2 linked regions of the Rattus norvegicus genome follow. The protein of the gene in region 2 interacts with the protein of the main gene of each other region in a pairwise test. Links are inferred from orthologs where the notes say so. Each region holds a gene or a part of one and is shown on either strand. Other genes may lie near its edges.

Region 1 (5,015 bases), on a different chromosome or scaffold from region 2:
GGGATGGCTAATGGGTTGAGAGCATTTACAGCAGCTGGGAGCAATTCAAGGTGCATGCCTTTAATCTCAGCATTTGGGTAGAGGCAGACAGATCTCTCTGAGTTTGAGGCCAGTCTAGTCTAGGATGAGTTCCAGGACAGCTAAAGCTACATAGAGAAAAACTACAGAGAACAAAACAACAAAGCACATTTACTGCTCTTGTGAAGGACCAGAGAGTTCTGTTCCCAAAACCCATGTAGTGGCTCACGAGCAACCGGACTGCCCATAACTGCAGTTCCTGGGAATTTGACACCCCCTCCCGCTTGGGTTCACTTGTTTGTTTGTTTTTTTTTTCTTTTTCTTTTTTTCGGAGCTGGGGACCGAACCCAGGGCCTTGCGCTTGCTAGGCAAGCGCTCTACCACTGAGCTAAATCCCCAACCCCTAGGACTTTGGGTTTTTTTTTTTTTTTGTTTTTCAGAGCTGGGGACTGAACCCAGGGCCTTTTGCTTGCTAGGCAAGCGCTCTACCACTGAGCTAAATCCCCAACCCACTTGGGTTCATTTGTGATCCACATGAGAGTGCAGCCAAAGTGCACATACATAATAAAAAGATAAAGCACACCCTCTGCCCCCTACACACAACTCAAAAAGAGGGCCAGTGAGATGGCTCAGTGAGTAAAAGGTTCTTTCCACTAAACCTGAGGATCTGAATTTAATTCCAGGGATTCACTCGGTAGAACAGAATCGATTCCCACACTCTTTTCTGACCTCTACAGGAACTCCATGGGACAGTAATGTTTATGCACAGACAAATAAATAAAATTGGACTGTAAAGATGTTTTGTCGCCTGAAATGGGAGTGGAATCTCCTGGAAATAGAGTTATAGATGGTTGAGAACCACTTTGTGGGTGTTGGGAACTGAACCTTAGTTCTTTGTAAGGGTAGTGTTCTTTTTTATGTATTTTTTTTTTCCCGGAGCTGAGGACTGAACCCAGGGCCTTGTGCTTGCTAGGCAAGCGCTCTACCACTGAGCTAAATCCCCAACCCCAAGGGTAGTGTTCTTAAACGGTGAACACCTCTCCAGCTCCAGATTTGAGACCCTAAAACTGCTTTTATTGCCTCTTCCAGGAATTCAGGGAGGGGACGGGCGGATGGGAGAGCAAGAATAATTTAACCAACCAAATGGGCATGAAAACTCCAACCTCTGAACCCTTCTCTATTTCTATCAAAGCCACACCCTATCCAGGCCCCTCCCCTAGACCATTCGGTTCCGCCCTCATTCCAGGCCCCGCCCCTAGACCACCGCTCTTCACCAGGTATCGCGTGCCCAGCCAAGCTCCTTTAGACCTTCACTTCTGCCCCGCCCCCATGAAAGCCCCGCCTACACAATCAGGTTCCGCCTTGCAGCTCGAGCCCCGCCCAGCAATCCCTCCTGTGGCCCCACCTCCAGCACGTGTACCTCCCTCACAACAACCCATCCAATCCGCTTCGTGATCGCTTTGCCCCGCCCCCACGACCAGCGGAGTCCTTCTCGCTTGCGCATTCGCCTCGCATCACTTCCGGGGCGGTGTTAGAAAAACTCACTTCCGCCCGCGGCGGAGCTGCGGTGGTGGCGGTGCAGGAGGCTAGGTCGGGGCCCCCGGGGGACAGACGGACGGACGCACGGGCGGGCGGCCGGGAGCCATGGAGTGCGGCCCCCGGGCCGGCGGGCGCGGGCGGCGGTGAGTGCGGGCGGGCGCGCGGGGGCTGCGGCGGTTTGCGGAGTGGGGCCGAATCGAGCGGGGCCCTGCGTCCGATACTTCTTTGCGCTCTCCCGGGATGGCTACGGGACCCGGTCCCTGGCATCCCCATGTCCCCGTCCAGCGATCCTGGAGTGATCGCTTAACCTCCTCAGGACAAGGCTGTGCCCCCAAGACGCCCGGGGCCCAGCCGCAGACCCAGCCCCTATCCCACACCATCTCTGCTTACATCGTCTGCTGACATTCACCGGCCACCTTTGCCCCTCGCCTGGCGTCTTCCTGTCAGCTGGGGCCCACTGCAGGCTTCCCTTTTGCGGTCCAGGACTCCTTTATGGTTCCTTATCACCCCCACCATGAAGTCCTCATGCTGCAGCAGAGCCTGAGGGTACAGCTTGAAGCAGGCCCTGCTCCCCTGGGAGCCCTTGCAGTTTTTCGAGTCCTCTCTCGCCGCCCGGGTTTACCTCTCCGGTCACTTAGCTATTTCTTTTTTTCACGTGTGTGTTCCTACGCAGAGGACAGCGGACAGCTTTGTGGAGTCCTCCCCTACCCTGTAGATCACCTGATCCAATTCGGATCTTCAAACTTGGTAGCAAGTGCCTTTACTTGCTGAGCCATCTCATTCTACATTCTAGCGAGGGTTGCCACCCTACTATGACTTGCTGGGTGAGGCTTCCCGATGCAGACAGTCATATGTAGGTCATCCTAGAGCCCTTACAGTAGCCTGCATGCTTGTAACACTAGGGTCTGGTTTTAAGTTTGTGATCACAATACTTGGGACTTTGTGGCAGTGAGTAAATAATCTTGGCTTACAGTACCCAATGGCTCCCATCTGTGACATGAAGTCCCACATGCTGTCTGCCCTCTCCATTTAACACTGGCAGACCCTGGGGGCTTATGTCTTTAATGTCTTTCTCCTACACCTTCACTTTCTCTGGCTACTCTGCACATGGTTGTTGAATGGAAGTGAGTAGTTATTGGTCCTAGTGGTTCTGCCCCTGTGGACTTTCTTATGGTAAGGTGGAGATCTAGTTAACTGTAGAAGTATTTAGAATCATAAATATGAGGGCTCCTCACCATATGGAGGACTCAGTGTGCTGGTGTAGGTAGGGACAGCCTCAGGAGGTAAACTGAGGCCTCTCCTTTCTTCACTTGTCTACAAAACATACTGCAGGTTGAGACCCCTGAAGTTGCACACCTGACAAACTGTGGCTAGGGATGAGGTCTGTGACTAGGAAGGAGGACTCCTTTAAAAGGGAGGTCACTCGATGGGTGTGTGACCATCCTGTACAAGGTGTCAAGGTAGCCCGGGTGAAGAGGACTCTGACATGGGATGATAGTGGCTGGGATGGATCTAGGCAAGGAGACTAGAGTGCAGTAGCCATGGATGGACCAGCTGGCCTAAGGATCCATTGGAGTGGCCTGGAGGGGAGTGTGAGGGGCAGCACCCCCTTTCCTGGCCTTATCTCACCTTATCCTTTCTCACTGGACTGCAGACCGCCCCAAGCCCTCTGTTACTAAGGGGTATTACATGAGGAGACCTTGATGATAAAGTTGGTGTCTCTAAACATTGACCTCGTGGGTATTTGGGGCAGGGTCATTCCTTGATAATAGCTGTTCCAGGCTACTCTGTGTCCCTGCTAGGTGTGCTCTCAGTTACAGATGTGGTCTGGTGTCTCCTTGGGCCCCACCTGCTCCATCCTAGGAGTGCTCTAGGTTACAGATGTGGACTGGTGTCTCCTGGAGACAGGTTCAGTCGCATCGTTGAGAATTGTGGCCTGGGAGCTGGGGACTTCTCGCACTGTCTTTGTCCTTACTCTGGGTGTCAGCTGGTCTCCCAGTGTGCCTCTGGATTGTTACAGACTGGGGCATCACTCGACCTAGCTGCTGGCCTCAGGCTCATGGGCATCAGAGATGTGTGTGTGGACGGGCTCACAGCTGCCTAAGTGTCATATGTCTCCTTTGCCTGTTATCCATGTCCCTCTGTCCCTGTGGGTTTATATGCTGTGACCTAAAACCCAGATGTATGTGGATATCCTGTTAAAATTGTACTATGATGTCTCCTGCCTTCTTCCTAGGCTGTGAGAGATGGTGGTGGGCTTTTCTGGAAATGTCTCTGTCTACCCATTGGCAGCTCTGTGTACAGTGGCAGTGGCTTTGGTGTCACTTGAACACGTTTCAGGATGTCCTGCAGAAGTGGAACATTTGGGTTTCTATTGGAGTCAGGCCCTGTCCCCCACTTCACTTCCCTCCTGCAGTTTGCTGCCTCTCTGAGGCAGGCCTGGGAGGTTGGGTGACCGAACCCTGAGGTTACAGCTGCCTGAGGCCACAGCTGCCCTGACCCTGGGGAGACACCCTGGCCCCAAGCACAGGGACAAACCATTGTCCCAGCCAGTGGGGCCCTGCGTCTGGCACGCATCCTGTCCTTGTTCCCGGCCTTTGTGTCTGCTTCCTTCCTCCCTTGGGTTCTGTCTCTCTGTTCCAAGGCCCCACTGCTCACCCCTCCACATCCTCCTGTGTGGGAGCCTCTGAGCCTTTGGATCCCTTTGGCTCAAAACCTGGGGCCGCCTTTGTTACCTGTTCTGGAGGATAACTCCTTCAAGGACTGAGGGAGAAACTGGTGGGGCATGTAGAAGGGTCTGGACATAGGCCTGGGGGTGCTGGAATGGCTGAAGCTGGGGGGCATACATAGGAGTTCTGCAACAGAGGCCCAGGAGAGACTGTGGGGTAAGCTAGGGCTGTGGGCAGGCCGAGAGGACCAAGATAGACCGTGGATGTGGGGACAAGCCTTCCTCCCTGCCTGGCACAGGCTGGCATCTGGTTCTACCTTAGCTTCCTGGAGGGAACCCACATGTCGGTGTCCCCCGCAGGGTGTCCCACTGTATGGCATGGAGACCTGTGGCTGTGAGGCTCCTGGGGGCTCGCCTTGGACCGCGATGGGGCCGGGCTGCGGCCTCCTAACGGGACTGAGGTGTGCAGCCCGCGAGCTGCCGCTGCCCGCATCTCGGAGCACCCCCGCCCCCCCCCTGGCCCGGCGCGGGCCCGGCGCCCGCCATGAACGGCCTGTCGGTGAGCGAGCTCTGCTGCCTGTTCTGCTGCCCACCCTGCCCGGGCCGCATCGCGGCCAAGCTCGCCTTCCTGCCTCCCGAGCCCACCTACTCTCTGGTACCTGAACCCGAGCCGGGGCCCGGCGGGGCCGGCGCTGCCCCCTCGGGTCCCCTGCGGACCTCAGCGGCCACCCCCGGGCGCTGGAAGATCCACCTGACGGAGCGCGCTGACTTCCAGTATGGCCAGCGCGAG
Region 2 (4,437 bases):
GTGTATTAGCTCATTGGTGAGATGCTTAAATAGGTAAAGGCACTTTCCCCCAAGCATGATCTGAGTTCAATCCCAGAGACCTACACGGTGGAGAGAACTGATTCCTGCGAGTTGTTGTCCTCTCATCACATACATGCTACGGCTTGCATGGGCTTGTACAACAATAACCACGTGCCCACAAAACAAATGTTTAAAAAGAAAAGCATGAAAGAAAGGAAGGTGTGTCTGTCCTCAGAAAATAGGAAAAAGCATTAAAAGCTGGATCTGTGGGTCTGAAGGGACAGTTCTATGGCTAAAAATCACTAACTGCTCCTGCAGAGAGCCTAGGTTTGGTCCTCAGCACCCACATACCAGCTCACAACCATCTGGAACTCCAGTTCCAGGGAATTTAAAACCCTCTTCCAGTCTCTGCAGGATCCCGCATGTACAGGGCACACATACATTCACAGAGGCTTGCACACGTCTTTAAAAGCTATTTGAGGTGGGGTTAACAAAGGCTCTGTCGGGAAATCATTGACCTTGCTTTAGAGTCTGCTATAACTTCATTTTTAAAAAGTGCGTATTTATATTACAGAGATTAAAAATGACTTTTAAAGCCCCATCATGCACTTTCTGGAGGCCATTGAAGGTTGACCATAGGAATGATAGTAAGCCCATCACATTACTTTTAGATCTTGATTTTCCTCTGCCCATGGAAAGAGTGACATGAAATCGTCCAGGGTATCCACCACTGCATCCACTTGACACTGCTCCAGCTCTGTCTTCCCAGCCAAATCTATGGGACAGAAAAAGGCCATTTTGTATCTAGCAACATGCTCAGTATACACTACTACTAATGTATCTCATAGGGGACATAGAAAATTCAGTGTGAAACAGTTGTGAGTCAGAAGACAGAGGTTGGCGGTGGAACTAGGGACTGATGGTAAAATTCTGTAGTCCATTCTTCTTTGTACAGCCCAAAAAAACTCCAGTTAAAAATCTTGTCCCAGCTTTCATCATAAAATTTCAACTTTAAGAATAATAGAATGTCTTAACCCTGGGACAACAAAGCGCCTTGACTGACAGCCAGACAGGAGCTCAGTCACGGAACCCTAAGTATCTCACCATGAACCTAGATAGGAGATAACCATGCCAACTACTGCTGAATCCTGGGAGCTGTGGCTCCTGATGGTCAAATATACAGACAGTGGTTAAGCTGTGTCTGTGGCTACAATGCACTGGATTTTTTTGTTTGTTTGTTTCTGTTTGTTGAATGTCATGTTCCTCTCAGCTGTCACATTCCCTTCAAACTGAAACATTTTGTTCAGAAGGAAAGCAGAGGCTCTAGCCTCTGGAGGTAAACAAAAGAGAAAATTGGGATTAAAAAAAATTACCAAAACTTGCAAGAATAAGACATTTTTTTAAAATTTAAATTTTTATGTGCATATAGATACGCAAGTACTCCACATGCCAGCAGTTCGGAAGAGCCTGTCGAATCACCAACTGCGGTTACAGACAGTTGTGAGATGCCATATGGGTGCTGGGAACATAGCTCTGGTACTCTGGTAGAGCAGCCAAGTGCTATTAATTGCTGAGCCATTTCTCCAGGCCCAATTTACAAGATCTTCAAAGCCTTCAATATAAAAAAGAGTAAACACTGACTGCGATTTCTTTAATTTTTTTCTAACAAGTCATTGATCTTTCTAATCTTTTTCTCACTGGTGCCAATTGGTAATGATTCAGCGTTAAAGTCTTGTAAAATTGACTGCTTTTGTATCAAATTACTAAGCTCAAGGAAATCCAAGCTGCTGATGAATAGCTCAGATAAACAACACCAAAGTGAAGCTGTTCCAGGGTGAAAGAACATGACTGTTGCACTTACTTGTAACTCTTACCTGTGATTTCTGAGAATTGATTCCTCTTACTAGCCTGAAAAAGCCACTCACCGTCCCCTCACTTCCCCACAGCCATGGTTGGACATCTAGGATCCAGGGTTTGGCGGTTACTTTGCATCAGGTGATGCCTCAGTAGACATTTCTACTTCTAAACTGCAGTAATCTCCCAGTCCCCTTTGAAAATATTCGGGGCTTTCTTCCTTCCTGAACTTCCGGCATCAAATTACCCACCGGCCACACCTGAAACCTGCAGTTCCCTATTCATTCCGCGAGGGCATGGCTACTACTGTGAGTCGGCCCTACAGAAGCTAAGAAGTTCCAGCGTGTTTTGAAAGAGAGAGACTCCTTACCTGTTGGCCTCCTGTCGCTGGAAAACCTGATCCGGTAAGGGGTACTGGGATTGAGGACTGTGTTTACAAAAAACTGAGAAGACCAGAGTGCCAGTGCTATTGTTGGTGGGTGTTTGTGACATCCTCCCCTCCCCGTCCACAGTGCTCTTCTGAGAATGACAAAGCCTGTCTACTGTACCTTTTAGCCCTTCCTTCTCTGCTGCCTAGCCCTACAAGGGTTTTGCATACTTTCTCAGATTCTCCACACTCCCCTTTCTGAGTTAACTCTACTCAGGGAAGTCCATGCCTTGGATTTTCTAACCAGGTTCGGTGCATTTTGCTAAGGAACCCTCCTTCTCTACCCTACAAACATGAAGGTTTTGTTGTTGTTGTTTATTTTTTTCTTGTGGTTTTTTTCTGTTTACTCCAAGGACTGAAAGTCTGGTGAGTCTAAGTGAGGTCCATTTGCCTGCCTCCTCAGTACTATCAGGAAGTCCTTGATAATGCAAACTTTTCAGGGTCCTTCGGGAACCCAATGTAGAAGCAAGGAAGAGTGGATGGGTTCTATACAGCCTCCAGGGAACCTTGATGCACATGAAGGCTGGAGGCCTTGGAACCCTAGACATCCTCTGAGGCTCCACCCAAACTTTTCTAAGTCCAACGTCCATAGACATATTCAATCTCCTCTGACCCTTCTCAAGCCTTCACTTGTTGAAATATCTGCTAGTACACCTTTTCATGTGCTTAAACTTTTAAAAATTAATTTTATTTTATGTATATTGCTATTTTGCCCTCATGTTCACCATATGTGAGCCTGGTGCCCATAGAGGACAAAAAGCCTTGATCAGACCAACCAGATCTGGAGTTACTGATGGTTGTGAACCACCGTTTGGATGCTGGGATCCAAACCCAGGCCTCTGCCAGAACAACAAGTAGTCTTAAGGTCGAGCCGAGTCTCCAGCTCCATGTATATGTTTGAAACAAACGACTTTGTCCCCCAAATGGGAGTCTAATCATTAGGGTCACTTGGGTGCTCAGCGTGTTTGGATAATGTGGTGGTGGCAGTGGGGTGGGGGTGGACAGTGCTAATTCTAGTAGATTATTTAAAAAGAAAAAGATCTTTAAAAGAAGCCCAAAGTTGCTTTTTAAAGTGAGACGAGCAGGAGAAGGGGAGCAGGAAGTGAAGAATGATGAAAGGAAGGCAGGTACCACCTCTGCTACCTGCGCTCACTGCCATGGTGAGCTGTGTTAGGGAAGCCTCAGGTGACACTCAGTAGATTAGGGAAGCCTCAGGTGACACTCAGTAGAGGCAAGAATGCCACTACCCTATGTTTTTCAACACCATCAGAATGAAAGACACGGGATTATGACTCCAACAGGTCAACAAGTTCCAGCCTTCATGTGCTGTATGCATTTTTGGCTGTTTTTGTCTGGATCATAATACTTGATGTTAGTATGATTTACCAATCCATTTTTTCCAGCTATATTCTAGAAAGGACATGATGGCAATGTGGCATAATGTGGGAGGAGGCAGGTACAGTATACAGAGAGGTTACTGGTGTGGTAGCACATGCCTGTCATCCAAGCACCAGGTAGGCTGTTACAGAAGGATAAAGCATTAAGGCCAGTGTGGGCTACGTAGCAAGTACCAGGCAAGTCAATACAGCAAAGTAAGACCTGTACATAAAAATATAAAGTAGTAAAATAAAAGAGCTGTCTAGAGCATCCACAGAAAGTTCTGCTAACATAGATGATACATTTATATTATTCTAATCTTCATAGCCATTCTTAATTGCACCACAGTTGAATAATAACATTTACTGAAGAAATACTAAAGAAAGCACTACCCCCACCCCAGTTATTTAAGGCCTTAACTAACAACAGGTATATTACCTGTGTTTTTGGTCAAATATCTTGCTATTGCGAGGCTCTGGTGAAGTGTAAGTCCTTCCACCTCCAAAACAGGGATTTTGCCAAATGGAAGAGCTAAAACAGACCAAGTGATGGTTCAGCTTGAGAGCAGAACAAGGAACGACAAGAGAACTCAAAACAATAGGAACAAAGCATTAAAGTCACGAAAATTCTTAAATAAGAATATATGTGTATATATATGTTTTTATATAATGTATATAAACTTTAAAATATTACTTTAAAAAATACTGTACTGTTTGATCTATATCCAAGTCTCTCAAAACATTTCTTCTTAAAAAGGACAATTTCGCATTCTCTGGCAC

Evidence for each region.
Region 1: the proteins of Hpgds (region 2) and Abhd17a interact in binary tests that used the Homo sapiens proteins (3 or more experiments, as listed by UniProt). The two-hybrid records come from large-scale screens. The link is inferred for Rattus norvegicus from reciprocal best matches to the Homo sapiens genes HPGDS and ABHD17A.

Annotation. Positions count from the first base shown.
Region 1 is NC_086025.1:9,773,464-9,778,478, forward strand, and holds the start of Abhd17a (alpha/beta hydrolase domain-containing protein 17A), read left to right. Parts: upstream 1-1,552; 5' UTR 1,553-1,700; intron 1,701-1,712; exon of another isoform or gene 1,713-4,442; intron 4,443-4,585; 5' UTR 4,586-4,769; coding exon 4,770-5,015. UniProt on the Homo sapiens protein: Hydrolyzes fatty acids from S-acylated cysteine residues in proteins. Has depalmitoylating activity towards NRAS. Has depalmitoylating activity towards DLG4/PSD95. May have depalmitoylating activity towards MAP6.
Region 2 is NC_086022.1:95,713,586-95,718,022, forward strand, and holds part of Hpgds (hematopoietic prostaglandin D synthase), read right to left. Parts: exon of another isoform or gene 4,190-4,437; coding exon 4,097-4,189; exon of another isoform or gene 776-4,096; coding exon 666-775; exon of another isoform or gene 1-665. UniProt on the Homo sapiens protein: Bifunctional enzyme which catalyzes both the conversion of PGH2 to PGD2, a prostaglandin involved in smooth muscle contraction/relaxation and a potent inhibitor of platelet aggregation, and the conjugation of glutathione with a wide range of aryl halides and organic isothiocyanates.